Linked DNA regions of Notamacropus eugenii. The protein of the gene in region 3 interacts with the protein of the main gene of each other region in a pairwise test. Links are inferred from orthologs where the notes say so. Each region holds a gene or a part of one and is shown on either strand. Other genes may lie near its edges. The genes, in order: EMP3, MAL, EDA and CYB561.

Evidence for each region.
Region 1: the proteins of EDA (region 3) and EMP3 interact in binary tests that used the Homo sapiens proteins (3 or more experiments, as listed by UniProt). The two-hybrid records come from large-scale screens. The link is inferred for Notamacropus eugenii from reciprocal best matches to the Homo sapiens genes EDA and EMP3.
Region 2: the proteins of EDA (region 3) and MAL interact in binary tests that used the Homo sapiens proteins (3 or more experiments, as listed by UniProt). The two-hybrid records come from large-scale screens. The link is inferred for Notamacropus eugenii from reciprocal best matches to the Homo sapiens genes EDA and MAL.
Region 4: the proteins of EDA (region 3) and CYB561 interact in binary tests that used the Homo sapiens proteins (3 or more experiments, as listed by UniProt). The two-hybrid records come from large-scale screens. The link is inferred for Notamacropus eugenii from reciprocal best matches to the Homo sapiens genes EDA and CYB561.

What each region holds. Positions count from the first base shown.
Region 1 is NC_092876.1:12,891,745-12,899,705, forward strand, and holds the start of EMP3 (epithelial membrane protein 3), read right to left. Parts: upstream 3,293-7,961; 5' UTR 3,119-3,292; exon of another isoform or gene 3,094-3,118; intron 2,176-3,093; exon of another isoform or gene 2,147-2,175; 5' UTR 2,133-2,146; coding exon 2,055-2,132; intron 1,409-2,054; coding exon 1,297-1,408; intron 924-1,296; coding exon 783-923; intron 648-782; coding exon 487-647; 3' UTR 1-486. Other genes in the region: ODAD1 (outer dynein arm-docking complex subunit 1), read left to right, coding at 6,450-7,214, 7,302-7,415, 7,513-7,580. UniProt on the Homo sapiens protein: Probably involved in cell proliferation and cell-cell interactions.
Region 2 is NC_092872.1:605,721,803-605,729,677, reverse strand, and holds the start of MAL (myelin and lymphocyte protein), read right to left. Parts: upstream 3,402-7,875; 5' UTR 3,065-3,401; coding exon 2,972-3,064; intron 1-2,971. UniProt on the Homo sapiens protein: May be involved in vesicular trafficking from the Golgi apparatus to the cell membrane. Plays a role in the maintenance of the myelin sheath, and in axon-glia and glia-glia interactions.
Region 3 is NC_092879.1:100,925,773-100,933,502, forward strand, and holds the start of EDA (ectodysplasin-A), read right to left. Parts: upstream 3,043-7,730; 5' UTR 2,721-3,042; coding exon 2,262-2,720; intron 1-2,261. UniProt on the Homo sapiens protein: Cytokine which is involved in epithelial-mesenchymal signaling during morphogenesis of ectodermal organs. Functions as a ligand activating the DEATH-domain containing receptors EDAR and EDA2R. May also play a role in cell adhesion.
Region 4 is NC_092873.1:344,381,905-344,389,430, reverse strand, and holds the start of CYB561 (transmembrane ascorbate-dependent reductase CYB561), read right to left. Parts: upstream 3,050-7,526; 5' UTR 1-3,049. UniProt on the Homo sapiens protein: Transmembrane reductase that uses ascorbate as an electron donor in the cytoplasm and transfers electrons across membranes to reduce monodehydro-L-ascorbate radical in the lumen of secretory vesicles.

The DNA.
Region 1 (7,961 bases), on a different chromosome or scaffold from region 3:
TGCTACAACAGAAAGGGATCTTAGAACTGAGGCTGTCAGAGCTGGGAGAGAAGGGAGGGCAGGCGCTGTGCTGAGTATGTGACAAGTATCACTGCATTTGATCCTCAACTCTGGGAGGAAGGTGGTATTATTACCCTCATTTTACAGCTGAGGAAGCTGAGGTGAACAGGTTAAGGGACTTGTAAGTGCCTGAGGCTGGATTTGAACTGAGGTCTTCACTCCTGGCCAGGTCATCTGGGCACCAGCTGCCTGAGTAAGAGCGGGAAAGGCCCCCAAGGTACCGTGTTAGAGGCAGGAAGTGCATGTCAGAGGGGTTGGGCAGGGAAGAGGAAGAGGACCGAGAAAGCTTCTTCTTACTCCCCCATTCCACAGAGGAGGAAACTGGCCAGGGTCAGGACCTAGCCCAGGACAAGGCAGCTGGAGAGGCTGCTGTCTCACTGGTTCGGGGGCTGTGAGCCAGGGCCAGCTGGCCAGGGGAGGGGGACGTCACTCTCGTTTCCTCAGGTGGATGTAAATGATGCCGCTGGCCAGCGCCAGAGGAAATGCCACCCAGGCTAGGGCAAAGCAGTAGCCGAAGGAGCCTCCAGCATGATGAAACTCCTTGACGTGTATGGCGTAGATAAGGGCCCCCGTGAACACTGACACACCTAGGGGAGGGGGCAGGGCAGAGGGAGTCACACCCACCCCCTCCCTGCAGCCCCCAGTCTGGTGCCTGCCCTCCCCTCCCCATCCTCCCTTCCAAGGGGCACCCATGCCCGAGGCCCCAGCCCTGGCTCACTCACTGGTGCAGAGCTGGCACAGCCCTGTGGCATAGAAGAGACCCCCTCGTTTCATGTTGTACAGCTGGAACATGAAGAGGATGAAGGAGAGGCAGCAGAACACCAAGGACAGCACCATGAGGGCCTGCACGGCCTTGAGCCAACCTGGGGAGCAGAGCCGGAGACTCTTAGCTGCCATTCCCTTCCCTACGTCTGCCTGGTTAGACTGGGAGCTCCCAGGGGGCAGCAACCCGGCTCCTTTTGTATTGGCACTCCTGGCCCCCAGCACCATGCTTGGTATAGTAGTGTTTCATAAATGCTATTTCATTCATTCATTTGTTTGCATTGGCCCCACCCTCCTCAGAAGGTGGAATCCCAACCCTGGCTGTCTTGGGGCCTTGGGACTTTGCCCCTCAGAACTGGGGGCTGACCCCTGGGACTGATGTTAATGGGCTGTGGCAATCCAAACCCTTCTGCCCCCCCCTCCATGCAGAGGTGTAGTTGGGTGGGGGGAGCTTTGGGGGGTGCTCTCCCTCACCGTTTTCGCTGACATTTTTGCATTGCCAGATCTCCCGGGAAGATTGGTTCAAATGGGCCAAGCATTCCTTCCAAAGGTTCAGTGAGTCATTCCCAGGGAGAATCCACCATGACTGAGACCAGTCGGGGTCAAAAAAAAAAAAAGGCAGAAGAGAACAAGAATTAGGGACGGGGGAGGGTGGGGGGGAGGGTGGCCGAGGGGCAGAGCCTGCTTGGAAGGAGGGGAATTGATGGGTGGGGTCCTAGGGATTTTCCTTAAACTCCAGTTTGACTGTATCTCTGCCTCCCCCTCAGTGAAGTGTCCGGACTCCTTGGCTCTTGGCTAAAGCTGTCAACCCCTCTGTTCAGCTTTAAGGTCTTTCTCTCGTTGGGATCCCCTCAGGTTATGGGCTCATCATCTTTGCCCTCCCCATCCCTTTCCTGGGGTACATCCCCTTCCTCACATCCTCGGATGTCTTCCCTCTGCGCCCATGGGCAGGGCCCTCCCCCGTATGTACATCCATCTATTGTATGTATGTACAAGTGTGTGTCTGAGTGTGTGTGTGCATGTACCTGTGTGTACCATTGTTTCTGCCATATGCGGTAAGCTCTTTGAAGGCAAGGACATTCACTTTTGTCTCTACCCCAAAGGTGCCTGTATTGAGGTGCATCGCACGGCCAGATGCTTTCGCAGGGGTGGAAAAGGCAGGGAAGGGGGGGGAGCAGGGAGGAAAGCCCTGGGCCGAGCCAGAACACCCCTCCCTGAACCCATAATCTCACCTTGTCCAGGGTGGCCACAAAGAGCAGGATGAGAATGAGGATGTGCAGGGCAGAGACAGCCACCAGGAGCAGGGACATGATGCCCACAGAGTCTGGGGGGAGGGGAGAGCCAGGCTGGCACCTAGGTATGGAGGACACTCCCAAGGGGGGAGTTTAGGGGCATGGCCTGGGGATCTAGCCTGGATATTCCCCAGTGGAGTTGAAGGAGATGCCTGCATCCTCAAAGGATGGGGGGGGGGGGGGCGGGAAGCGTGTGTGGAGTGGAGCTGCAGGGGGATCTTCCCCTCCCACACTCCCTGTGTTTGCACCATCTGGGCCCTCTAAGAACTAGAACCCAGACATGAGGATTGAAACCTGCCCCACCTAGTTCCTCCCCACTAGTCCCCAGTTTGTGAGCTGGAGTGGGGCGCTGCCCTAGGGACTAAGACTCCACTAGGCTCTCCTCCTGTCTTCCCCCGCTCCTTGGTGGGGGTTCAACATGAGTCACTGTGACTCATTCCCTTCTCTCCCACCAGAGAAACCCCAGCCCTGGGGCCTTGCTACTGTCCTCCTCAAGTCATCGCTCGGTCTAGGGCAGGGCAGCCAAACACCTGGGGCCTTTCAGGGCTATGGAAGTGAGATAGAGTGGTAAAGGTCTGGGTGCTAGCAGGACTAAGTGTGGGGATCCCTAGGAGAGCAAAACTGAGGTGTAGGAAGCTTGGGATGCCTGGCTTAGTGCAGGGCAGTTAAGGGAATTAGTTGGGTCTCTTCAGAGAACTGGCCAAGAGGGAGAATTGGGGTCTGGAAGTTAGAACAGGAGAAAGACAGGAAATCCTGAGCTGGGGAGTAAGGGCTGTTAGCTCAGATGTCTGGATCCCCGGAGGAAGGAAGACGAGGCAGGAAGAGACAGCTGGGGTCTTTGGCAGAACACCCTCTACTTCCCCCCACCCCCAGCATCTGTGGGGAAGGGAATGTCCCATATGTGGATCTCAAAGAGTGTTGCCTCTCCCCTCTCCCTGCCCCCTCCCCTTCCTGTCCCCTTCCTCTTCCCTTCCCATACCTACTAAGTGCTTTAGGATTCTCACCTTCTCCTTGGCCAGGTAGAAGGTATCTGGAGGCAGATGGGGTCTTTCCTGTCTCAAAGGCTCCTTTCTTTCTCAAATAACGGAGAAGCACTTAGCCAGCGCAGCCAGAGGAAGTCAGAGCTAATGCTCGGTCCCTTTTCCCGGCCTCCCTGCCCCGCCCTGCTCTCTCCCTCCTTCTCTCCACCTCTTGCCCGGCCCCCGCCTCCCTCCCTTCTTCCTTCCTCTGAAGACCCACTCCCTTCTCAGTACGGTCCAAACCACTCTCTCTCTTCCACCCCGCCTAGGTCTCTGCCTCTCTCTGCATTTCTCTGTCTGTGGGTGTCTCTCCTCTGCCTCTGGGATATATTCTCTAACTTCCTTTTTATTTACAAGCAGGAGAAGCCTGGGAGGGACCCAAGTTTCCATTGAATCATGCACCATCATACTTTCTTTATGTCTCTCTGTCTTTCCCTCTCTGGGTGTCTCTCTGTCTCTGTATCTCTATGTTTGTGTCTTTCAAGTTATTCATTTGTCTACTTCAGCCTTGTGTCTTCCACTTTCTGTCACCACTGCCCCTGATCCCAGGGCTTGCAGAGACTGAGGGCTGGGGAAGGTAGCTGGAAGGTAGGACCTTGACTTGGGAAGCCAACCAGTCAGTAAATGTTTATTAATTACCGACTATGTGCCAGGCACCGTATTAAGGGCTGAGGATGCCCCTCCTCCCGCCAAAAGGCTAAAAGATAGCTTTAGGAGTTTATGATCTAATGGGGGTAGACTACACACAAAAGTATATACAAAGCAAGTTGTAGACAGGATAAGTAGGACATTAACAGGGGAAGGAGCTGGGATTCAGAGGGTTGGGGAAAGCTTTGGGGGAGGTCAGTATCAGAGTGGAGGTGTTGAGGTCAGGAAACCATAGTGTTGAGATTTGGGTGCTCAGGACACCCAAATGAATTCGACCCGAATCTTCTTTCAGCCAAAGTAAAACAAAGTTTATTAAAGATTTGCCATTTTGGGTTGATTCTTAACAAGCCTCTTGTATTGACAAGTGGGCCAGATAGAATCTCAGCGAGATTGAATCTAAGCCAGACTGAATCTGAGCACCTTCATGGAGGTGAGATGGAATTTATATACAGAAAGATTGTGTGAGGGATCTGGCGATGGTCTAGGGTGATGGGAATTGGGGTTTAGGGAGGATCTTGATGGGACTGGGGTGACTGATCAAAAGTGGGAAGCAGGTGAGGCAATCCAGAGGTAACAGGTAATGGAGGGCTGGGCTAGGTGAAGGGTAACGGGCATCTGGGTGTGAAAAGCCAGATTAAGTGGGAAGATTGAAGGAGGTTCCCAGAGTCTACCACATCGTAGGGTGGGGTGTTCCCGGCATGGGAGATAGGCAGAGAGAATGTCTGGAGCCCAGAGATGCAATGTCTTGCTTGGGGAAAACCAGGGTGGCCAGTGACACTGGATTGGAGTATGTATTGGGGAATGAGGTTTAAGGAAGGAGGGCGCCAGGTTGGGACGGGCCTTGATCTCAAGAGGGCTCCGCATTTGACCCTGGAGGTGGATGACAGGGAGCCATTGGAGTTTATTGAATGGAGGAGTGACTTGATCAGATTTGTGTTTGAGGAAAGTCACTTTGTTGAGTGGAGAAGGCAGACCTCCCCCCCAGCAGTTACTGCCATAGTGCCCCCCGCCCCCCGTGGCGTTTCTTTCATTCCAGTGGGGGAGGGGAGAATAACCAATACACAGATAATTCGATCTAAAACACAATACAAGTAATGTGGGTGCAGCAGGGGGGCCGCCGTCTAGGAGCCTCCACCAGCCAGAGGAGCGGGCTTTGGAGGCAGTGACTTCGGAAAGTCCTTCATTTTACGGGCCTTTTTCTTCTCTTTGCACCCGCTGCTCCTGGGGTCCCCCAGCACTGCTCGGTACCCAGGAAGAGGCCCCGGGCTTGATGTGATCTGAAGCTCAGATCTGCCACCGGGCAAAGCTCTGCTCAGATCCGGAACAGAAAGCCAGAGCAGAATTGGAACCCAGGGCCGCCTCTGACTCCAAACCCACGGCTCCTTCCTGGCTAGCAGACCGTGCTTGGCCGAACCGGGAGCCGTGGGCACAAGAGACGGATTTGTAGCCCTGAGAGGGCAGGTGGGAGGTGGGCGCGCCCACCAGGCTAGGGCCAGGAGGGCCCCTCAGGCTGATGCTGAGCCCCGGGAGGAGAGCGAGGAGGCTACTGCTTCCTCCCTCAGGAAACCGCAGGCAGCTTTGGGGCACGCCCTGTGCCGCGGGCGGCCTGGAGCTGGGCTGCAGCCCGCCTTCCTTCGAGGCCCAGCCCCGGGGAGCTGCGGCCTGGCAGCACGTGGAAGGTGGCTCGGGCTGGGGGCGGGGCTCCCTCCCACTGAGGGAATCGGGGAGGAGCCCCGGAGAGAGGCTCCGCCTCCTGCTCCGAGCGGTTCGAGGGCGTTGGTGCTCAGGCGCACTAGGCGGGGGCGCGAGGGAGGGAGGCGGCGGTGAGCAGCTCTCCCTCCGCCCATCTACGCCCCATTTGCCACCCGCAGATTAAGAGCCCTTCTCCCCTTAGCTCCGCCCCCTCGGCAGCTCCTAAGCCCCGCCCCTCACAAGCTCCTCCCTCCCGCCCCAGCCCCTAGTCTGCTGCTCCTGCATCCCTCAAATCCCCCTTGTCCCGCCCCCTTAACTCCTAGCTTCAGCCAAACCCCCATCTTCCTCCCCAAGCCCTCCCACTCAAATCCTCCCGAGTCTCTCCCCTCAGCCCCCACCCCAGTTTCTACTACCCACGTCCCCTTTGTCCCGCCCCCCAGCATCCCCAGCCACACCCTCCCAAAGCTCTCTTAAATCTTCACTCTCCCGCTTGACCCCGCCCCTCACCGCTTTAGCTCCGCCCCCAGGCGGTGCCACGTTCTCCTCTCAGCTCCAGCCCCTTTTTCTCAACCCCGCCCCTCCCCTTGGCTTGCATGCCTCTGCTCCGCCAGCCCGAGGCCCGGGGAGGGGTTTGGAGGAGATCCTCTGAGTCAGCCTCCCCCAGAGGGAGTCGGGGGAGGGCCGAAGGGAGGGAGAAGGAGGGAGGGGGGAGAAAGGGAAAGGGGAAACCCGAGGGAGGAGCGTGAAGGAGGGGCCCCAATCCCCCTCCCCCCCCACCCCGCCTGGGCCAGCTTCCCCAATCCCCGCCGCCGGCCCTGTAGCCCCAGCAACCAGGACCACAACAGAGGGCGTAATCGGGCGAGGCCCGAGTCTAGACCTGTAGGGCCCCCGGTGCCCTTGTGCCCCCCAACTTCCCAACCTGGATCCTCCACTGCCCTCCAAGGGCCGCCCAAGTAGACTTCTCCCCGCAGCCACCATGCCGCTGGCCATCAGCGTGCGCTCGGAGGACAGCGAAGCCTACCTGGATAGCTCCGGTAAGTGCTCGGGCCGGGGGGTCGGAGCGGGGCGCTGGCCCGGCCTCCCTCCAGCTGACCCGGCCCCCGCCTGCCCCCCGCCCTGCAGAGGGGGAGCTGAGCCGCCTGCAGAGACAATGCCGGGTGATGGAGGCGGAGCGGCAGGCTTACGGCCGGGAGATCCAGCAGCTGATCCACAAGCAGATGTGAGCCGGGTGCGGGGGGTGGAGGCTGGCCCAGGGCAGGTGTGCTCGGCGAACGGAGAAGGGCGTTCGTGGCTTAGGGCGCAGGCCAGCTCCAGCTCTCTCGGGCTCCGGCCGCAGGGTGGAGATCCAAAGGCTGCAGCAGGAGCAGACGGAGCTCCGGGTGAAGATGGAGATCTCGCAGAGCCAAGCCCAGAAGCTCCTGGACCAGGCGCGGGAGAAGGACCTTCGAAACCTCCTGGAGCGCAGGCAGCAGCTGTACAAGGAGGTGATCCAGGCGCAGGAGCACCTGAAGAAGCTGGACCAACAGGTGGGGCCGGGGCGGGGGGCAGTGCTGGGCTGGGCCTGCCGGCCAATGGAGGACCCACCGAGTCCCTTCTCCACGGCCCCACGGGGCCCCAGATTGCCAAGTGGGAGAGTCGAGTGTTGCTGCAGCTGAAGGACCTCAGGGGCCCAGGCTTAGTCCTCCAGAGGAAGGCCCGGGACCTCCGAAGAGTGAAGATCTTGGAGAACCAACTAGACCGGGTGGGTGCTCCTGGGGCACTGATGGGGGGGAGGGTCCCAGGAGGCCAACAGAGCTTCTGGTGACCCTGCCATCCTGATGCCCTGCAGGCCACCACCCGCTTTGACACCCAGCTGGTAAGGAACAGAATCCTTCGAGAAGAGCTGGGTTTGCTGCACATCCAGAGAAATCGTTTTCTGTATATCAACCAGCAGCTGAAGAAGGTCAGGCCCCCCAGCCCTAGGCAGAGGGAGGCGGGAGCAGGGCTCAGCTTCTCTCCCTCACCAACTTGTTGCCCATGACCGTGCCCATGCTAAGCAGGAGCTGCAGGACATCCGCTCCACCATTAGATCGCACATAGACGAATCCAACTCAGCCTTTGATGCCAGGTAACCTTTGGCTCTTCCCTGGCGTGCCAGGGGGTGCCCTCTCTGCTCTGGGTGAGTGTGGGTACTGGGTTTGTGACAAGTTGGGGGTGGCTCTGTTGGACTCAGGGAGCCAACCCCCTCCTCTCAGTGTTGCTGGGATTGACTCCTGAGACCCTGGGCAGCACCAAGTTCCTTCCCTCTAGATGTCTCTGGAACCCTCTTTAAGACTGAGAGAACCAGCCCTCTCTATTAGGCACCTCTGCGACCCTGCCTGGTGTGCAGTCAACAGGCCCTTCAAGTCTGTTGTCTGGGATGTTCCCTGTCCTCTCCAGGGCAAGGGAGCCAGGCCCCTCCATGTTTTTGGTACAGTCCCTGTCTAGGACTGAGGAAACCAACTCTAAC
Region 2 (7,875 bases), on a different chromosome or scaffold from region 3:
TTCCTAGTCTCCATGTCTTTGTTCATACTATTCTACTTTGCTTGGAATGTTCTCCCCACCCTGACATCTCTACCATTTGAAACTCTGCCCATCCTTTAAGTTCTAGATCAAAGGCTACTTCCTTCCTGAAACTTCATGATCCCCCTCTTCCACTGGAAGTGATTTCTTTTGCCCCAGAACACTTTATTTGTCTTATTATCATAACCAGCCATCATGCAAATTGAGCAAATGTTCTCAATTCAGTTGGGGTGGGGTCACAGAGACTCTCAAACATTTTTAATCTCCTTCCTCCAGCCACTACTAGACTGTAAACTCTTTTAAAGGCAAGAATTGTGTCATAGACACATTTGTACCCCTTCAATTGCCTGGCGTAGTACTTCTATCCAGTAAGTACTCCTCAAATTTTTATTGAATTAAACATGATTACATGATAACTAAATAGAAAAATTATATCCAGGAGTCATCCTGCTGGCCCCAGAGACAGCTATCATTTAAAAAATCTCCCAAGTACCCTGAAAGCCTCTTTCAGCAACACACTTTCAACTTTTGATCTGAATAAGAGGAAACTACTTATTAATCAGGCAATAAGCATTTATTAAATTCCTCCTGTGTACCAGCCCCTACCAGTACCTATTATGTATATTAGATACTGGATATACAAACACAAAAGTGAGATGGTTAATCCCTGAAGGAGTACAAATTCTACTACTACTATAGAATCTGAGCACATGACTTAGAATTTAAAAGAACAACTGTGTTTGACTTGGAGTTGACTAAGAATAACAGGAAACAAATGAACAATTCTTGGTAGTTGGTAACATAAGCACACAGCAAATTCCAGTGGGTGGTGGCTGGTATCCAAATGTTTTCTAACATGTATGCAAAAGGAACTACCATAAGAATTTTCATTGAGTTTTTCAACTAGTATAGTCTTTATGAACTTCCCTTTGAACAAGGTCATAGAGAACAAGGTGAAATACGGAGGTCCAGAGAAGTCCAGGGATTTGCCCAAGGTCACACAACTTTCACTGACTATAGTGGGAGGAGAATCTTAAGCCTCCATCTATTTAAGCACCAACCTAGGTATAGTAGGAATAGTGCTCTGCACTATTATTATGCAAACAAATGTTTCTATTGTAATCTTTTCAAATCAAAGCTATCCAAACCTACAGAGAAAGGATTTAAGGTACATATCAACAAGTCCCACAGTTTTTGAATGAGGGATAACACCCCCCCCCCAAAAAAAACCCCAAGTCCTCATAGTATATCCCACCCAGATATTAATTGTCATAATTGTTCTGTTTTACAATCACTGAGTTTCTTTTGCTTATTCTTTGTCTCACAAGATTCTGGGCATTTTCACTGACGGTCTCCCAATCCCAGAATGCTCTTCTTTCTCATTTTCTACTCCTGGTTTTCCAAGCTTACTTCAAGTTCCAGCTAAAATCCCACCTTCTACAAGAGGCTTTTCCTAGGCCTGTTTAATTCTAGTGCCTTTCTTTTGAGATTCCCCTCAATGTACCCTGTATATAACTTGTTTGTACAGAGTTGGTTATTTCTCCATTAGCCTGTGAGCTCCTGGAGACCAGAGCCTGGGCATTTAGCACAGTGCTTGGAATATGGTAAGTACTTAAAAATTTTTGTTAACTGACTGATAAAAAAACTCAAAAAAACCCCTCAGTATTTCTCTCTCCCCCCACCCCGGGTAATAGATTTATAGCTGGAATAGACATTAGAGGTCTTCTATTCCAACCCCCTCCTAAGTTAATGCCATAATAAACCAAATAAATCTTTATTTTAAAGTTACACAATTTTGACAGTGATTCAAATTATATTTCTCTCATCAAGGGACATTATAAAAAAGCTTAGGAATCAGTACAGGGATAAAGAGATGTATGCAATGTTCAGCTGAAAACATAAAAACGCTTCCATTTGGTCATTACAAGTTGAAAAACAAACTTTAAAAAATTACTTAAAACTAGTCACACTCAGAATCTTTTGGGTAATGTGCTTCATTTAATACCATATTAACAAGTTGGTTTTTTTTTTTTTTTTACTGCATTTAGAATTTAGGTAATTCTCTAAACAATGTTTTGTGGTACCCCCAATTTATGTTATAACATTTCACAAAATCTAAGAAAGAAAACAATTATCAGCTGGCTGTAATTACAAATTACAGGAATTGAGGCAGAGAGAGGTCATAGGATCATTAGAAGTGACTTGCCTAAAATTATTATCGGTAGTAAGAGGTAGAGGCGAAATTTGAAACCAAATTCTTCAACTCTAAATCCAGAGTTCTTTACGCTACACTCTGAATAAATATAGTTTAAGGCAGTTTTGTTTTTAAACGCAAAAAGGACCTTGGGACCAAAGCATGTACTTGCTAAGCAGTATAAAGTTTTAAGAATGACAGCTTTATGGGAGTCTTTTGATTCTACGTAGACTATCAATTGCGTCAATTTGAGTTGCTGGAAGAAATGTTTGAAATCTCCAAATTCTAGAAAGTCTACAGCCCTAAATGACTTTGGGGAGGCTCTAACAGGTTTATGATGGAGCTCACAGGCTGGAAGGCTCTTATCAGCTTGTGCAAGGCTCTTTGGCACTTGGACTAGGAGATCGGGAGTTAAATCCTAGCTCCCAGTTTAGTAGCTGTCTATGTAGCTACAGCAAATCTCTTCAGTTTTCTGAGCCTTTCTGCTTGAGTAAAGGGAGGACAATATTTGAACTAGATGCCTCACGGGGTTGCTGTGAAGAAAGTGCCTGGGAAATAGGAAAGTGTTAAAAACCAACTGGGTATGAGCCCCATTCTTGTGCCTTCCCCCTTGTCAAGGGAGTAGGAAAAATCCTGACACTCGCAGAAGAGCTAGTAGCAGCATCATAGTCTGTCAAGTCTGCAGATGTTACCTCTATCTATCCTCATTCCCCTTCCCCATGGCCAGGAAATAACAGATATTTTTAAAGACCAACTCACAAATTCAAAAATGAAAAGCAGGTCTGGGAAGGTGGCCAGCACAGAGAAGCCACTGGGCAGGGAGCCGCCTCCCGAAGTTGCTGCAGGGGCCATCCTCTCTGCTTTCAAGGCTCTAAGAGCAGCCGCACTTGGTGTCGCTGATTTTCTGGGAGACAGAGAAGGTCCTTCCTCTCACCGGCTCTACCCGTACTCTCCGCTGGTCCTGGAGAATTCTGAACTGGTCTGATGGCCAGGGCGCCCAGGATTAAGAGGGGGGGAAGGAAGGAGGAGGAGACTGGCGCCCCCAGTGCGGGGTGTGGCAGCAGGTGTCTCCTCCCTGAAGGTGTAGACAAAGGACCAGAAAGACGCTGCCAAATCCTCATCTAGTGGCACTGGACGCGGTGACTGTGCCAGAGGAAACCCCGAGGATGCCAAGATGCCTACCCTCCCTCCCTCCCTCTGGCAGGCAGTGCCCGGTTCAGCCCCAGAGGGGCGCACTCCCCACTATGCTAGCCCAAAGTTGGATGGGGCTAGTTCCTGTGCCTTCTGTTCCTCACCCCCACCTCCAACCTGGGCTTTCTCTACTCGGTCTCAAGGGGAAGGGCACCGGCTCTCTCAGCGGGCCGGTGTTTCCAGTGTCCAGGGTTTAGAAGGTTTAGGTTGAAAGATCTGCCCTTGAGACGTGTGGGTGGGTGTGGCAGAGGAGTACGGGGATGAGGGGAATAACATTCACTGGATTTTAGGAATCAGAGTTAGAAAAGATGCTTGGGACTGGACCTGTGATTTCATCGGTTTAGGGAACTCCTACCAATGTAGGCTGCCCATCTTCGCGGCAATGTACAGTCTTAGAGTTGCCTGGGGGCATTGAGGTGTGACTTAACCACTTCCAGATGGTGAAAGACCTTTGGAAACGTCTATTTCTACTCCTTCACTTTACACCTGATAAACTCAAGGTCCAGGGTAGTGAAATGATTTATCTAAGGTCATGAAGCTACTAAGATGGGGGTAATTTCTCAGGTCCCTTCCAGGACTAAATTCTACAAGCGTGTAAGAAACAGATAGGTTTTCGAACTCAATCTAACTCTTTTGACTTAGATCCATGATCTTTCCATTAGCCTTCCGTACACGTCTCCCCCATCCTCTGGCCCCTAGTAGTATCTTCCCCCCCCCCGCCCCCCCCCCCCCCACTTTCCCGTAGGCTCCTGTAGTACCGAAATTAAACAGTTCTTTCCTTTCCGAAAGCCACACCTGCAGCAATAGGGCGAGTTTGTCGCCTAGGTATTTTTCCTTCCTCAGCCTCAACGCCCATCCTATATAGTCAAGAGAATGAATATCCTGGGTTTTCTTGGTCACTTTTCTACGTCGCGGCCACTTAAATTTCAAGGCTTCGCATTTTAAAAAGCCCTCTTACTCGGTAGAATGTTGACTGTTCAGTTTTCAGGTGTCTGCTTTTACATTCAAGCCTTCTTTATCCTCCTGCCCGGCCCCTCAGTGAGTTACAAAACCAGGCTAAGAAACTGAATTAAACCTCAACTGTATTGCTTTACCTCCTCTCCTCCAAAAAACAAAAAGAAAAAAAAAACAATTGTTGGGGGGGCGGAGGACACCATTTGAAAGTCACTGGGTTGTCTATGTCTACCTGGAATTTTGGAAAAGAAGTCTTTTAAGTTACTATGGAATAGAGTGGAGACAGGACACATAGTGAGGAAGATCTGAGTTTGAATGTTGCCTCAACTTTGCGTCTTCGAGCAAATCACTGGATTCCTTTCAGTTTTCCTTAGCCGTAAAATGGGGAGAAGGGATAAGAAAAGCTGAACCTTACAGGACTGTAGTATAACCCAATCAAGGTGTAATATGAAAAGACTGTAAAAAACAAAAGATAGCAACAAAATGCATGATCAAAGGGGTGCTTTTTTGAAAGTGAAGTTGTGATTACTAAGAGCCGGAAGGGTTCATCTTTTTTTCATTAAACAATTATTTAGTGTTTTATTTATTTCCCAGTTACATGTAAAAAAAAATTTTAACATTCATTTTTAAAACTTTGAATTCCAAATTCCCTCCCTTTCTTTCTTTCCCCCTTCCCTCACTGAGAAGGCAAGTAATTTGATATAGGTTATAAATGTGTAGTCGTGTAAAATATTTCCATATTATGTTCGTCCTTCGTTGCCAAAGAAGACCATGTTAAGTCAAAAAAGTATGCTTCAATCTGTATTCAGGCACCATCAGTTCCTTTTCTGGGGATGGATAGCATTATTATCATAAGTCCTTCAGAGTTGTCTTGGATCATTGTATTTCTGAGAAGAGCTAAGTCATTCACAGCTGATCATCTTATACCATTGCTGTTGCTTTGTACACAGGACATTTCATTTTGCATCAGCTCATGTAAGTCTTTCTAACTTTTTCTAAGAGCATCCTTCTCATCATTTCTTATAGCACAATAGTATTCCATCATAGTCACATACCACAATTTATTCAGATATTCCCCGGTTGAAGGGCATCCCTCAGTTTTCAATTCTTTGCATTCAGAGAAGAGCTGCTATAAATACTTTTGACTATATAGATCCTTTTCCTTTGTGTTTTTTAATCTCTTTTGGGATACAGACCTAATAGTGGTACTGCTAGATCAAAGGGTAGGTTTTATAGCCCTTTGGGCATAGTTTTCAACATTTGTCAATTTTCTTTTTTGGTCCTCTTAATAAACCTAATAGGTATGAGGTAGTACCTCAGAATTGTTTTAATTTGCATTTCTTGAATCAGTGGTGAGAGTATTTTTTTATATGCCTATAGGTAGCTTTGATTACTTCATCTGAAAACTGTTCATATCTTTTGATCATTTATCAGTTGGGGAATGACTCATTTTTACAAATTTGACTCAGTTCTCTATATGTTTGAGAAATGAAGTCTTTATCAGAGAAACTTGCTTCATATTTTTTTTCACAAATACAATTGCTAACTATGTTTCCCTCCATCCTATTCTCCCTTGCCACCTGGTTTATTCTGTTCTCTCTCTCTCCTTTCACCCTGTCCCTCCTCAAAAATGTTTTGCTTCTGACTACCCCTCTATCAACCTGCCCTCCCTTCTATCAGCCTCCCCTTCCCTTATTCCCTTCCCCTCCTACTTTCCTGTAGAGTAAGATGGATTTCTATACCCAATTGAGGGTGCATGTTATTTCCTCTTTGAGTCAATTTTGATAAGAGTAAGGTTCACTCACTCCCCCTTACCTCTCCCTTATTTCCCTCCACTTTAAAAGCTTTTTCTTGCCTCTTGTATGTAAGATTATTTACCCCATTCTACCTCTCCCCTTCCCTTTCTCCCAGGACTTTCCTCTCTCAGTCCCTAATTTTATTTTGTTTACATATCCATTCATATTCAACTCATACCTGTGCCCTCTGTCTATGTATACTCCTTCTAACTGCCCTAATAATGAGAAAGTTCTCAGAAGGTACAAGTATCATCTTCCCATGTAGGAATGTAAACAGTTTAACTTTATTAAGTTCCTTATGATTTCCTCTTCCTATTTACCTTTTTATGTTTCTCTTGAGTCTTGTATTTGAAAATCAAATATTCTATTAAGCTCTGGTCTTTTCATCAAGAATATTGAAAATCCTTTATGTCATTGAATATCTAATTTTTTCCCTTGAAGGATTATACTCAAGTTTGCTGGGTTGGTGATTCTTGGTTGTAATCCTAGCTTTTTTGCCCTCTGGAATATTATATTCCAAGTCCTCCAATTCTTTGATGTAGAAGCTGCTAAATCTTGAGTTATCCTGACTGTGGCTGCACAATACTCAAATTGTTTCTTTCTGGCTCCTTGCAATATTTTCTCCTTGGGATCTCTTTCAGAAGGTGAATTCTTTCCATTCCTATTTTCCCCTGTGGTCCTAGAATATCAGGTCAGTTTTCCTTGATAATTCCTTGAAGATGATGTCTAGGCTCTTTTTTTGATCAAGGCTTTCAGGTAGTTCAATAATTTTTAAGCTATCTCCTCTGGATCTATTTTCTAGGTCAGTTGTTTTTCCAATGAGGTATTTCACATTGTCTTCTTATTTTTTTATTCTTTTGGTTTTGTTTTATTTTTTCTTGATTTTTCATAAAGTCATTAGCTTCCATTTGCTCCATTCTAATTTTTACAGAATTATTTTCTTCAGTGAGCTTTTGGACCTCCTTTTCTCCATTTGACCAATTCTACTTTTTAAGAAGTTTTTTCTTCAGTGAATTTTTGTGCGTCTTTTTCCATTTGGTCAATTCTGCTTTCTAAGACATTCTTCTCCTCACTGACTTTTTATAACTCTTTTACCATTTGGGCTAGTGTGTTTTTTAAGGTATTGCTTCCTTCAACATTTTTTTATGTGTATCTCCTTTACTAAGCTATTGACTCATTTTTCATGTTTTCTGGCCTCACTTTCATTTCTCTTTCCAATTTTTCCTCTACCTATCTTACTTGATTTTCAAAATTTTTTTTGAGCTCTTCCATGGCCAGAGACCAATTCATATTTTTCTTGGAGATTTTGGATGAAGGAGCTTTGAATTTGACCCTGATTTTAACATAGCAGAATTTAAGATAGCAAAATTTTAAGTAGGAGAGGAGCAGAATACAAGAAGAAGAGTCAGTTTAGGTTTATAGGTGTGAGAGAGTAGGTGTCAATGGTAGTAACCAGCAAAGTAGGGAAAGTAGACAGGTTGGAACTTGAGAGTGGACTTAAATGATACCAGTGTTGATCTTTAGGACATATTTCCATTAGTCTGTGGATAGAAATCAGGAGTTCTAGCTCTCACTTCTGGGCTTTATCTGTTAGAACAGTGTTTTCCACCCTCAACTGTATTATGGGTACACTTATGGGTAAAATAACCAAATCACACAAGGTTAAAGTTTCAGTCTTCTGTTTCTTCCCTGAGGAAGGCAGGAGCTCAAAGCAGAGAGAAG
Region 3 (7,730 bases):
TTGAAAAACAAAATATGAAAATCTGCCCTACGTTACCAGAACCTGAAAAGCTGTTTACTTCCCTGTGCATGAATCCTTGTCAGCATAGAATTCTATATCCCAGCCCAGCCAGCAGAGGGTGCCCTAGAGCACCAGAAACTTGACCCAGGACTCCACAGAACTATTGGATTGGAAATGGTTCAATTTAGACATCGAGGAAGGCTCAAAACATTGTCTTTAAGATACACAGAAGTTCACCTAAGCTAAAGTCACTTTGAAAACTGCCTGAAAGTTTCAAAGATTCAAGGAAAATCTGGAAGATGAAGCTGAAATCAGTTTGGCTAACAAGATCCTCTGACTCTGACTGGGGCACTCTAGCTTACTCAGGAGAAAGATAAGGTACTAGCATGCTTGCATCTACAGCCCAAATGTACAAAGAAGGACAATACAATTTCAGGCCTACTAGGAAGGCAGAGGTTTAAAACTTAGGCAGGACAGTATGAAACGTTCTAGGAGAATAGGTATCCCAAATCCCATTAGAGGTCAGTCCTGGCCTCTTTCCCCCAAGAAAGGAAGCCCCAGAGGTCCAGATGTTCTGTTTATCAACAGATTATAAACATGGGACTGTCTATATATTGAATGCCAAAAAGGATACTGAATTCCTTTACCTTTCCATTAGAGTTTAACTGCAAAATATTTCTACTGGGGGAGGAGGGGGGTAGCTTGAAGGGGTGAGGAGAAAGTTATGTAAAGGAGCCCAAATCTCAGATAATTATCATTTTGCCACAGAGTGTAAAGTTTCAAGCTTGCCTGCTTATTCTCTGATCAGTCCTTCTATAGGTTGGAGCCTGCTAGCAAAGCAAGAGAAACCGCAAAGTAACTTTACAATCTAGGCTAGAGAAAGCTTCAGTCTTAAATCTTCAGCAATGTTCAGTTATCCTCAATAGTAATGCCCAACTCTACAGCCCACCTGCACAGGCTGACACTAAGGTACTGAGTTCTTATATTCCAGAGAGAATGCCAGGGTTACCCTTGACCTTCAAGCACCTAATTGACCTCAGTACCTTCTTCTTCCCAAGTAATAAAAACATATGACTGTTCCGTGATCAAGCCAGAAGGCTGTTTCACTGCAATTATTACACTTTACAAACAATTTAATCTCAATTAGAATGGCTCTCAATGTACCCTAAAAGGGTTAACTATAAGAGGAGAAAAAAGTAAGCTTAAAAGTTGACCCATTCAAACCAAACCACCAGAAAGTTCATATACACATAATACAGTCTCTTGTTAGGCTGCCTCAGGCTCCTCTGAGGAGATCTCATTTCTCTAGCATGTGGCTACTGGACATTGCCTCCTCTCCCTGCCCCCCCCCCCCCCATCCTTAGCTTCCAGGGACAGAGGCAACATGCAACAAGGTGGAAGGGGAGTGTTTCCCCAAACTTTTAAAATAGCTTGGAGGTAGTAAGCCCTTCCCAAGGAATGATCGAGCTGGTATGGCTCTCAAATTGCGGGTAAAACCCAAATCATCTCACATGGTTTGACATGGAGTTGGTTAAGAAGTTACTTCCCTGGGGCACACAGCACTCACTTGAGCTGCTGGCAGCTGGCTCCGGCTGGCAGCCTTGTAGCTGCTAAGAGCTAGTAGTTATCCTCAGGCATGAAGCTGACCGGTCCCTCCAAGGGGCCTGCCTCTACTCCCTGGTTAGTTCAATGACTTTGCTTTGCAATTGGCTTAATGAGTTTGCCAGTTACTTTGTAATTGACTTTCCAACTGACTTAGTCACTTTGCCAGATACTCCTTGACTAAAACTTAGGGAATTTCTTCCCCAGGTCCTCTGTGACTGACTTAGTGAGTTACTTTTCCAGTTACTTTGTGACTTGATGAATTACTTTGTGAGCTACTTTGCCAGTTACTTTGTGACTGACTTAGTGAGTTACTTTGTGGCCAACTTTGTAAGTAACTTTGCCAGTTACTTTGTGGCCAACTTTGTAAGTAACTTTGCCAGTTACTTTGTGACTGACTTAGTGAGTTACTTTGTGGCCAACTTTGTAAGTAACTTTGCCAGTTACTTTGTGGCCAACTTTGTAAGTAACTTTGCCAGTTACTTTGTGACCAGCTTTGTGAATTACTTTCAAACTGAATGAGTTTTGCCATTTCCTTAATGACTTAGTTACATTCCCGGTTACTGCGGCAGAAGGTGACAGGCGATCAGTAGGGCAAGGGAGCAGGTGTACCCTTCTTCCCTCCCTCTTTGGGCCGCCCGGCAGGAGGGGTGACTCACCTGCTGCGGGTCCCCAGGGTCGGGAAGAAGCGCCGTGTCCCTAGACTCGGGTTCGGGTGGTGGCAGCTGCTGCTGCTGCTGCTGGAGTTGAGGTGGCAGCTGCCCGCGTTGGCGCCGGCGGCGGACGGCCAAAGAGTCCCGGGAGGCATCAACGGTAGCGTCGGGGGGTCCGGCAGGCGGCCCGGCGGGGGCGGGGGCGCGGCGGGCCTCGGCGGCTAGCTCTCGCCGCAGCTCCGAGCGCAGCTCCAGGTAGCAGCAGAGTGTCAGCAGGTGGAGGGCCAGCGACAGCGCGAAGAAAGCCAGGAAGAGGCGGCAGCTGCTCCAGGCGCCCGCAGAAGCCGAGCCCCCACGACAGCCGCAGCCTCGCTGGCTAGCCCGGCGGCGGCCCGGCCCGATGACCGGCCCGACGATTGGCCCGGGTTCCCCGCGCGCCGCTGCAGGCTCTTGGGCGAAACCCATGGCCTCCGGGGGGCCTCCCGCACTCTCTGGCACGCACGCACGCACGCACGCCCGTCCGTCCGCCCGGGAGGCCCGTGGGCCCCGCGCCGCCGCCGCCGCCGCGTCTGCTGCTTGGGCCGGCACTCTCGGAAGGAGCCCTGTCAGGCGCGTCTACTGAGCGGCCATGGGCCGGGGGGCTCGGGGCACCCGCGGCCGCCGCACCTCGGATGGACACACGCACCGACGGACTGACGGACGGACGGACGGACAGACGGGCGAGGCGGCGGCGGCGGCTGGGCGGGCCGGAGTGGGGAGCAGCCGCGTGTGCGGCCCCACTCCGCGGGCGGGGGGGCGGGCGGAGGGAGGCGGGGGCGCGGCCTGGCCCCGCCCCGTGGCCGCGGAGCGATGGCTCCGCCATCCAATCGGCACGGCCTCCCGGCTCCCGGCGCCCCGCGCCCCGCCCTCCCCAAGACTCCACCCCGGTCCCTCTCTCAGGGGGCGGGGCCGGGCCGCGTGCGGTCCCGCCCCAGACCGCTCGCTCCTCCCTCAGCTTCCCGCTTTTCCCATTCCCGTTGGCGGGAGCGGCTGCCCTTCAGCTCTGGACCCCGCCTCCAGTTAACCCTTGGGCGCCTGCCAGGGGGAGGCTAGCCCAATGAGGGGCGATCTGGAAAGGCGAGTTCTTGTCCTGTGCCCGGTTCCGTCGCGAAGGGGGAGCAGGAGCTGGATCACAACTCGATTCCACTCCACGCCTCATGCCTTCCCCGCTCACAGCAGGGGCCAACTAAGTGCTCGTGGACCTGAACCAGTGGAAAACGAGCTCTGGACGGAGAGAAGTTTGCTCGTCACCTCCCAGTGCCCCCACCTAACCCAGCGCAGCCCTTCTCCGTCTCTCTCCCTTCCAGGGGTTTCACAGACCAAGTAATTAAAACAGTTAGGGCTTTGGAATGAAACCTGCCAGCCAGGGCCGAGGTCCAAGCCGCAGGCAGCTGGCGCACGGACGAAGCCGGGACAGGAATCCCGGGAGCAGCCACGGCCTGGGAGCCCAAGGCGGAGGGGAGGGGGAGAGGGGGGACAGCCACAGACAGAGAAGAAGGGAACACAAGAGACCCAGTCTTGGGGCCCGCCCGAGGGGACTGAGAAGAGGTAGGGGTGGAGGGAGACAGAATCTGACAGAGACAGCGAGAGACAGAAGTTGGGAGCAAGAGAGCCAGTGCTGGGGCCCGCCCGAGGGGACTGAAATAGCCATTCATTCATTCGACAACCACTTAGCGAGATTCTTGCGGGGGGGTGCGGGGGGGGGGGGAGCAGTAGAGTTCCTTTTAATGTGATGTGAGAATGCTGACTTGAGCGACCAGGAAATCTGGGTTTTCGTTCTATCTCTGGCACTAGCTAGCTACGTAAGTAAGCCTGAACGAGTGACTCCCCCCCCCCCCCCCCCCCCCCCCCCCCCCCCGCCTCCCCGTTTCCTCGTTGTAAAGTAAAGTTTGGGCTAAATAAGGCCTCGGAGATCCTCTTCCAACTCGAGCATTTTTGATTCTGGGGTCTTTCCAGAGAGTCACATTCTGTGTTCCATGTTTTATCCTTATGGCTCTGGATTATTTCTCTGGTCTAAAGTCCCACTGAGCTCTATAGTTCAATGACAATCCAATCTTTTCTCCTGAAAAGAGCTAAACTTGTCCCTTCAGGGGACAAAGGGGAGAATTTGATGACCAGGATGGAGCAGATCTTCCCAAAGTGGGGGTGGGGAGGGGAGAGTGGCCTGGGGACTCTGGCATCTTCATTTGCAGGCAGCTGTCCTAGCCTTAATACACCTCCCCACTCACTCCCTGGAGAAATCCCTGGGAGGGAGTTCAACAAGTCAGCCAAGAGTTCCAGATGTGCAGCTGGAGAATACACAGCTGGCAGAATCTTTAACATTACACCAAACACAAGAAGGCAACAAACACACTGAAGTCAGACTTCCCCTTGAGCCCATGAGGGACGGTGGAAAGGACAGATCCAAAGACTCACAGTTTTCTAGGGCTAGAGCTGACTGGGTTGACCTGGAGTGGAAGAGGCAGCTCAGATCATTGAACGAAAGGGTCACGGGGTTAGAGGGAAAAGTTTCCTTAGTACAGTAAAAAGAACTCTGGATTTGCAAATGATGACCCTGAAGCTCAAGTTTTGTCCCTCACACTTACAAGGTGTGTGACTTTGAACAAATCACTGCAACTCTGTGCCTCAGTTTCCTCATCTGTAAATAGGTGGGGCTTAGGTCCTCAGGTACGGTCTTTTGACTGAGTCCAAGTTTTCCAGAACAAGTTCTTTTATGAAGGGGATTTGTTCCCTGAAGCTTGGATTCACTCAAAGGGCCACACTTGAAGACTTAGAGGGCCACATATAGACTTGAGGCCACAGATTCCCCACCCCTAGACGATATAATCTTAAAGGTCCCTCCCAGCTCTTAAATTCTATGATCCTCATGTCCCTTCCTGCCCCCAGATTACAATATACAGGTTTTATTTAATTATAGCCCTGTTACAAATAAGAAAATTGACTCAGCCCATAGCTCCATTTAAAGTGAGAAGGGCCTGGTAAGGTCCCTTCTCACTCTCTCCAGACATTAGTGATTGTCTTTAATGCCTGAAAATGTCTGTCAAGTTGGTTTATCCTAACTAACCCATTCACAGAACTTAAAGCTGAAAGGGCCTTAGGAGCTCAGAGACTTCTGGGGCTTGTCACCTTTTTGGCTTCTGTGGAGAAAATCCATTCACATTTGAGTTCTAGATAGGGATGGCCTTTGGCAGTCAGATGAAGAAGATTATGAATCCCTTCTCAGGAGGGTTTAAATCACATACATAGGAATGCAAAGGAAACAAATTCTATTGAAATACCATTAGCAATGTATTTTTTAAAAAGTTTCTATACCCCAGCTTAAGAACTCTTAGATAATCAAGTCTGTTCATTTTCCAGATGGGGAAACTACCACACAGGGAGGATACTGACTTGCCAAAGGTCACATAACTTGCTAGTTCTGGATTGTCCTGACTTGCTAATACAGTGGAGTATGGTGGTTGGATCTGGAGGTTGATCTGGAGGTTGATCTAGTGGTTGATCTGGGTGGGATATCCCATGGAATATGGATGCATTTCAGACTCAGAAAGGATTCTAGAGCATTTGCATAGGAAAGGCCCCTCCAAGGAACCTGTGAAGAGGTAAAAGGATACCTCTTGTTATCTGAAGAGGAAATGGAAGCAAATGGCAGCCATTTCTTAACATTGTAGCCCAGGGACCCTCCAACTCTCCAAATGTCATGCTGTGCATTAGCATTATCAGGGTCCTACAACTATTGGTTTCTGGGGTCCTGTCACCTCAAATCCAGACATGCTCAAGAAATTAGGGAAGGGTTCAGAACTCAAGACTGGAGACTTTCTCCAGAGACAGCCACAACACAGGAGAACACAGATATGCAGGAAATAACACTGAAATCCAGGCAACTCTTCAGAGCTGCCCTCAACTTTCACAAGGTGCCTGCCCTCACACAGAGAGACAGAGAGGGACACCGACATGGTGGGGGAAGGAATGGAGGTATCCTTACAACAACTGGCAACAGCAAATGTCTTTCTGCCCCCCTCTCCCAGGTCAAATGCCCTATTCCCCTGATTGTTGAAACCCAGACAAGGGCAGGGTGGAAGGAAGAAGTACAACTGAGCTTTTGCCTACAAGCATTCCACAGAGATCTAGAAAACTCAAAAGGCCAAGTCCTACTTAAGGATTTTTTTAAAACCATAATGAATTATTCATCATGCCCAGGTCCGCATAGGGAGACGCACAGGGAGGTCTTCAGACACTGGGGGATGGGTTGAGCTTTCCTTCAAGGGGACTGAATAAAGAGCTGCCTGCTACTGTGAGCTAGGGTAAGAAATCTTAGATCCATCACAGAGAGCCCAGAACCCCTGATCATGTTCAGGGAGCAGAAACAGATGCAGAGTAGCAGCCTTGTCACTCATTTCCCACTACTGGATCACAAATTTAGTGCAGACTGCACCTAGGAGTATAGGGCAGCTTGGTTGCACAGAAGTTAGAGCACCGGGCCTGGAGTCAGGAAGACTTGAGTTCATATCCAACCTCAGACATTTACAAGCTGTGTGACCCTGGACTTAACTTCTATTTAAACACTTAGCCTCTGTTCGCCTCCGTTTCTCCAACTAAAAAATGGTGCTAAGAATAGCACCACTGAAGTCCTTGCTCAAGCTGAACTGCCAAATATTCAAACCATGCTTCAGAGAGTGCAACTCTGATGGGCTGGCCACGTTGTTCAAATGCAAAATGTATGTTTGCCAAAAAAGACTTTTATAGAGAGCTTGCACGGGGCAGGTGATCACGTGGTGGCCAGAAGAAACAATACAAGGGCACTCTCAAGGTCTCTCTCAAGAACTTTGTATTTGACTGTGCAACATGGGAGACACTGGCACAGGACCGCTCGGCATGAAGTGCCCACGTCAGAAAGGGTGCTGTGCTCTTTGAGCAAAGCAGAATTGAGATAGCACGAAGTAAATGTAGGATGCTCCAATTTGGGATATCCACCCCAAATATTTATACGGACTATCTGTGCCCAGCCTGTGGTAGAGCATTCCGAGCTTGTACAGGTCTGATCAGCCACAGCTGGACGCACAGAAATTTCACTTTACAGTGGTGATGTCACTTTGGTCCTCTTCGAAGATGAAGGACAACAACCAACCTGAAAGAATTGTTTTGAGAATCAAACGAGATAATATTTGGAAAATGATTAGCATATTACCTGCCACACAGCAGGTGCTATATAAGTGCTTATTCCCTTTCCTACTCCCTTTCCTAGGTGTTGAGGACCAGGGCAAAAAGTCGTTGTGGGCCCTGGGCATGTGCTCAGAGAGGACCAAGTACAGAAGCAAGCAAAAACTTTGCGACGGACCCCAGGAGCAAAGCAGGGTCTGAGATCCAGTCCTATGCACAGTCAAAGCCTACAGTAGAATAACCTGGGCAGGAAACCTGGTCCAAAAGAGAGCCTACAGT
Region 4 (7,526 bases), on a different chromosome or scaffold from region 3:
GACAAAGCACAGAATAATGACATCAGAGGGCCTTAAATGCCCAGAGAATTTTAGTCATTATATTACAGGTGATGGAATGTAATACTGAATGCTTTAGGTTTTGTTTGTATGTGCATAAAACAATTTATACGTCAATTCTTGGAAGAGAGAAATCATATTCCTAATTCACTTTGATTTTCCGCAAGTAAGGGCAGTTTTATGAAGCCTACTGAGAAGATAGGTATATAGGGCAGAAGTGGGAATGAGAATGTATTTTTACTCTCTGGGAAACTGGAGGAAAAAGAAACCTGAAATAGGCAAGAAACACAGGAAAACCAGTACTAACTCAGTCTGCCAACTTAATTTATGTTAAGCATCTCCTTAAAATTACCAAGGCCCGTGGGTGAATTAAGCCAAATTCACACCTTTATTGAGGATGCTACTTAAGGACTAGAGTGACAGGAATGAAATGGACCTTTCTGCATGCATATGGAACTGAAGCCAGCCAGAAGGGAGTTTAAAGGTAGAGGGTGTCTGGAGTAATAGAGGAGAGGAAGCAAAGGGAGCTGGATTAAAGCCACAAAACAAATTTTGCACTTTTGCTTAGGGTTCTGGCAGAGCCAGCATGCCCTAAAAATTGCTGCTGTAAGCCAATGCCTGAGCTAAATTCAAAGGATGAGTTTGAAATGTTGCTAAAGTTCAGCTTTCTCCAATTCAGGCTAATCTTGGGGAAAAAAAAATCATGGGCTGGCCTGAGTAAAGAAGAACATTTGGAATTCACTCTTCCAATCCCAGCTCATTACCTTGGACAAGTCACTGGGCTCCAATACAGCTTGTCCACTCTACCTTACAGAACTGTTGTGACAGTCAAATGAGAGGAGGTACAAGAAAGTGCTTTTGTCATTGCAAAATTCTATATAAACGTAAGATCATGTTATTTAAATTATTGGCTTCATCTCAGCCCTAACCACCCAACTGGAGCATATTCTCCAGTTGTCTTTTTCTTTCTTCCAACTTATATGGTTAAAGTGAAGCCTCTGAATGAAACTCTCTAAATATGGAGAAACTTGAAATTTTTGCTTGTTTTGAATCAGGATAGCCTGAGCTTGGTCACAAGTCAAAGCAGGCTCTTTACACCTTCTTGAAATGACAGAGGATCCGAGCTGCATTTTTCTGCTTCATGCAGTATCTCAAACCAATCCTAACTACTAGGATTCTGGAATAAGAATTGAGCCAGCATGTTTGTTGATGGCACCTGGTACAGAAATTAGCCTGCTTTGAATAGTAGCACAGTCTTCCCTAGTCATGACAATAAAGAAATTGGGGAGCAGGCACCAAATATGCACATGGACCATTTGTCCCCAACCTGATGGGTATGAGGTAGCACCTCAGAGAACATTGTATATAGTACCAACAACATTGTGTGATGACCAACTTTGATAGAGAGCAAGTTTCTCTCATAAAAGTCTCACATCCAAGATATATAAAGAATTGATTCAAACCGATAAGATCAACAGCCATTTCCCCCCAAATGGTCAAAAGATATAAATTAGCAAGTGCCATATAAAAATGCTCCAAATCACTACTAAATAGAGAAATGCAAATTAACACAACTCTGAGATGCCACCTCATACCCATCAGATTAGCAAAGATGCCAAAAAATAGAAAATGACAACTGTTGGAGGGGATATGAGAAAACAGGCACACTAATGCACTGGTGGAGCTCAGAAGTAGTTTAGCTGTTCTAGAAAGCAATATGAAACTATGCACCAAAAGGTTGGTTGTACATTCTCAAAGAGAACCAAAATGACATCACTATGCTGGAGTCAAGCTTCAATGTGTCCAAGTGTGGCTGATCAGACCAATACAGGCTCACAATGCTCTACCACAGGTTAGGGATAAATAATCCAGGTGAACATTTGGGGTGGATTCTTTAAATACGCACATCCTGTGTTTCCTTTGAACTGTTTCAATTCTGCTTTGCTCACAGAGCACAGCACTTTCTCTGATGTGGGCACACTATGCTGAGTAGTCCTGTGCCAGTGTCTCCCACGTCACACAATCAATTCCAAAGTTCTTAGGAGAGACCTTGAGAGTGTTCTTGTATTGCTTCTTCTGACCACCATGTGATTGCTTGCCCTGTGTGAGTTTTCCATAAAATAGTCTTTTTGACAAGCATACATTTTACATTCGAACAATGTGGCCAGCCCATCAGAGTTGCGCTCTCTGAAGCAGAGTTTGAACAGTTGCCAGTTTAGTTCGACTAAGAACCTCAGTGTCTGGTAGCTTATCCTGCCAGGTGATCTTCAGAATCTTCCTAGGGTAATTTTTCAGGACAATTCAGTTTTTCTGGCATGTTACTAGTATACTGTAACTTATGCAAGTATAAGTTTCACAAGCTTACAGCAATGAGGTCAGCACAACGGCTCTGTAGACCTTCAGTTTGGTAATTAGTCTCTTCTCTCCTAGACTTTTCTTCAGAGCCTCCCAAACACTAAGCCAGCTCTGGCAATGCATGCGTCAACCTCATTATCAACATATACATTCCTCTAAAGTACACTACCAATGTAAGTAAACTTATCCACAGCATTCAAAACTTGCTGTAACCAATAGTTCCACAGATGGATGGTGTGGTGGTGGCTGATGGGGCATCTGTGTTTTCTTGGTGTTAACTGTTAGGCCAAAATTAGCACAAGTAGCAGAGAACTGATCCATGCTCTGTTGCATCTCAGCATCAGAGGCTGGAGTGAGTGCAGGAGCATCTGCAAACAGAAAATCATGCACCAACACTCCCTCCACTTTGGTGTAGAATGCAATGTGGAACTAGGCACCAAAAGATACTAAACTAAGCAGAACCTCTGGCTCAATGATAGAAACATTAAAGCTACACAGATCAAAGAAAGAAAGGACATAAGCGTACAAAAATTATCATAGTGGTGCTTCTGTGATAGCAAAAGAATTAAAAGTTACAGAGGTGTCCATTAATTGGCAATGGCTAACAAATTATGGTATATGAATGTAATGGAATATTACTGCACCATAAGAAATGACAAAAGGAACAGTTTCAAAGTGTGAAGCAATCAGGACCAGAAGAATAATTTATACAACATAATACAACATTTTTTTTTGCAAAATTTCATTTTAAACTTAAATACAAAATAAGAAAAGAAAAAAAGCATTGCCATGCATATGACAGAACATGAGGATTCAAAATATACAGCAATAAATTTCCATTTCAAGAAAGCCTATATAATAAATACTGTGCATTGTGCAGAGAGCTGTCCATCTTTCTTTGCCTCCTTGTAACTTTTCTTTTGGTCTTTCCTGTGTTTTCCCCCTTCCTTCCCACCTCCCCAAGGCTACAAGTAAACACGGACACATACATACACCTATGCACATACATACATATATAGATATATAGAGACATATACACATAGAAATACATAAACACATATATACCCATACATAAATACACTTACACATACATATACTTAGATATCAATAGTTGTGGTCATATATAGACATACACATTCATATCTATCTACGTAAGACTATATTATTTATTTATCCTGTTTCTCTGAGGGTGGATAATCTCTTCCTTCATAAGTCCAAGTCTTTCTATATTTTTCCAAGTCTACCAAGTCATCATCTTCTACACCACAGCAATATCCCCACCTTATACTGGTCTAGTTGTTTTAAATATTCCAAAACAATATTGATAAATAGAGCTGACAGTGTAGTTTCCCTATTTTTTCTCTTTTGATTAAATCTATTTTAGCCCTAACTTTGTCCAAGATCATGATTACCACTCCTGCTCCTTTTTCCCTAACAAATTCAACTCCCAATCATTATTTTGTTTGTCCATATCTCTTATTTCCTATCCTTCCTGACTCCTCTACTTTACTTCTACCCTCTACTTTGCCCATTACTTAACCTACCCCCACCAGGATCTCTCCCTTATCCTACCATTTCCATTTATCTAAACACCCTCCTATAACCCCCTTTAACTTATTCCATTACCTTCCCCTCTAAAGATCCCTCCCTTATCCTCTCTCCCCTCTCTATCCCCTTAGCATTTTATTTCTCTCTGAATTTAGAAGACTTTTATACTTTTCTAGATATATATGTATTGTTCCCTCTTGAACGCATTCCTGATGAAAGTAGGTTTCCAGCGCCCTCCTCCCCCTCTTGTTTTCATTCTTCCTCTCACACCTCATTTGTATAAGATAATTACCCTTTTTAGCTATTCCTAAACAGTTTTACTTTTTAAAAATCACATCTTACTTAGGTCTACCCCAACCTTTCTTATGAGCTACCCAAATACTAATAACAATCTTAGACATACATTTTACATACATAAAAGGCAAACAGTCTGTCCTTACTGAGTACCGTGTAACTAGTCTTTGGTGTGTATACCTCATTTTTCTCTTGGCTCTTGTACGTCATATCTTCTATTAAGTTCAGATTTAGTTTTTTTAAACAAAATCCTGAAAAAATTCATTAAATGTCCATTTTTTTTTTCATTCAGGATTATGCTTGGCTTTGCTGGGTGAGTGGGATAGACTTAGTGAAGACTCCTCAGATTGTAATTTTTCTCCCAGGGGTGAGGTAAGGCCTAAAGGCTCAAGGTTACAATATTTTTAGAATAGAATAGTTCCATATAAGGATATAAAACTGTGTAGTGTATTAGGGTCTCAATGATTGGACAAAACTTACATAATTCCTCCATGTCTTCATTTCAAAAGGGATTGGTTAGATTTCATGTCTAGAATGTAAGACCATATTCTCAGCTAATGAGGATAATGGTCAGTGGGGGGAGGAGGGACTTGCGTTAGGGTCTATATAAATCACTGTCCTGTTCTTTGTCTTCGGCTTTCCTACTCCTACAGGGGAGCCCCGCTTCTCGAGAATTGAATAAATCACTTTTCTGTCATCACTTTGAGAGGCCTCTGAGTAATTGATTTATGTAGGGACCTGAGCCATCCCACACAGTTTGGGGGCACGCCCGGGATCTGTGACCTTTCTGAGAGATGGCTGACAGCTCAGTTCAAAGACTGGGCGCCCGTGGGGAGATTTCCCCATCGTCCTTGAAAAGGGCTGCCAGGCCTCCCTCTCTGCAAGGTAACGACCCGAAGCAGAGGAACTCAGTGAAGACAGAAAAGAATAGAGATAGGGACTCCAAAGACTCCGAAGCTGTGAAGTGTGTAAAAATGCCAACTGGTTGGTGTTGAAGTTTGCAGTCAGGCAACTTGTACGCGTATACGACCCAGCGGTAAGCGCAGGGGGGGGGCCTGGGGGTCAATTCGTTGAGTCTTAGATAGACTCGGGGAGAAGGTGACAACTCCCAACCAAATTAGTGGACTGCGGGACCCCAGGGTGAAGGGCCCCCCCAAAAAACGTTTGCTGGGTGACTGCTGGTGATGGGCGACCCTCACCTGAGAGCTGGCAAGAGAAGCTAGCAAGAGAGCTAGCAGGAGAAGCTAGCAGGAGAGCTAGCAGAAGAGCTAGCACAATTTGTTGAGTCCCAGACTCGGAGGTGTTGGCAACAACCCTCGACCAAAGGAGCTAGCAGGAGAGCTAGCAAGGGAGCTAGCATAATTCCTGAGAAGCTAGCAGGAGAGCCAGCGGGAGAGCTAGCAAGGGAGCTAGCACAATTCGTTGAGTTTCAGACTCGGAGGTGTTGGCGACAACCCTCGACCAAAATGGGACAAAAGCAGTCCAGGAATAGAGCTTCGGAGTGGAGTCAGGAAGAAATACCGGTAAATAGTCCCTTGGGAAACCGATTGCAAAATTGGCATGAATTACCAAATTATAGAGAAAAGAATGTAGAAGAAGATGATTAAGTACTGTTGTTTTGTATGGGGTGAAAAGACATCGGAGGAGGAGGCACAATCTGGCCCAAATATGGTTCCTCTGAGGATTGGGTTTGCCAAAAATTTAAACCTATATGTACTATTCTATTCTGTTAAATGTTTTGTCTGTATATGTTGTGTTGGTATTTCTGTGTGAATGAAAGTCTGTGTGTCTCTGTTTTTATCTGATAAGGTTGTAAATTTAGCCAGTCAGCCAGCAGGAGCAGAAAGGCTGAGCTGAACTGTCCTTGAAATTCCTGTTACTCCCTTTCTTCAACCCCTCCAGACTAGTTTCAGAGGGGCTGAGGGACAAGTAGGGAGAGAAAGGAACAAAAAAAAAAATCTTTTTCCCTCAGACCTAAGAGGCATGCTAGCAACCAATTAACCATTTCCTGCCTCACCCAAAAGAAGAAGTTTTAGTGTAATGGGAAATAACAGAAAGTTAAGTGAATTCATTCTGGTCGTATTTGGAATTGTGAATAGGTGAAATGTGTCATTCTTAATTTAATGTTTCAGAGAGGTTAGAATTTATTAAAGTTTGGTGGAAGTAAGCAGAAGATTAGAAAAAAAAAATCTCAAGTAAGCAACTTAGAGCTGAGAGTTTTGGATTTAGGTTTAATTAGATCAATATATTTGATGCCAGACAATGTATTTAAAGTAAAAAGATAATAAGTTTAGGTTTTTCTTTTTCTTTGCAGGGTGGGAGGGCCAGAAAGGGGTGGCCTTGGGAATCCTGGTACAAATAAGAGGAGGGCAGAGACACCCAGGAGCATTTCTGCCAAAAATGTTAGATCCATTAACAAAGGATGGGTATTTGTTAGATGCAACATTGATCTAATGTAACTGTTACACGATTTTAAATTTTGTAATTTATTACATATAGATTGGGGTTTTAAAAAGATGTGATAGAAATTTGATAATTTGAAACTTACATTTGGTTATAAAAAAAAGAGCTGAATAGGTTAATGGCTTCTTTTAAGTTTTAAGTAAACTTAAATAAGTTTAAATTTTTAGGTAATCCATCTAAATATTGTATTAAAAATTGCATTGTTAAGCTAATTAGTGAATTGGTTAAAAAGAGTTGTTATGAATTGTTTTTTTTTTGTAAGAGTTTTCTTGTTGTAGCATTCTTATTAAGAAAATGAGAATGCTTTAAAAATGTACATGTATATATATATATAGGTGTGATTTTCAAGCCTGTTTCATCTGAGCATGTATTATGTTAAAAGTTTATTTCTGTTGTTGAAAAGGAAATTTTAGCTAAAATTGTTTTTGCCATGAATCAAGCATTTACTCTAAAGTTAATTTTTTAAAAGAAAGTTTATGGGCAAATGTGAAAAGGCTTTGGATTTAGGTCTTTTCTTGTGATTTCTGTCAATTAGTTTCAAGGGGATTGTGATAAATTGCAAACTGTACATAAGAGAGGAAATATTTGTTGTATTAAGAAATACTTTGTAAAATCTTTCGTATGGGTTTTTGGAAGGCCTACCTATCCAATTTGTATTTGTAAGTTACAAAAGTGGGAAGAATTTAGTTTCTCTAATAGGATATGAAAATACAATTGATGTCATCTGAAATTTATTGTTCGGGTTCATAGCTAAAACAATTTGTTATCACTTATGAAAATTATGTTTGCCATTTGTAATTCTAATGCTAAAACCTAAAGCTGGTACACTGTGTGAATATGTGGGAAAA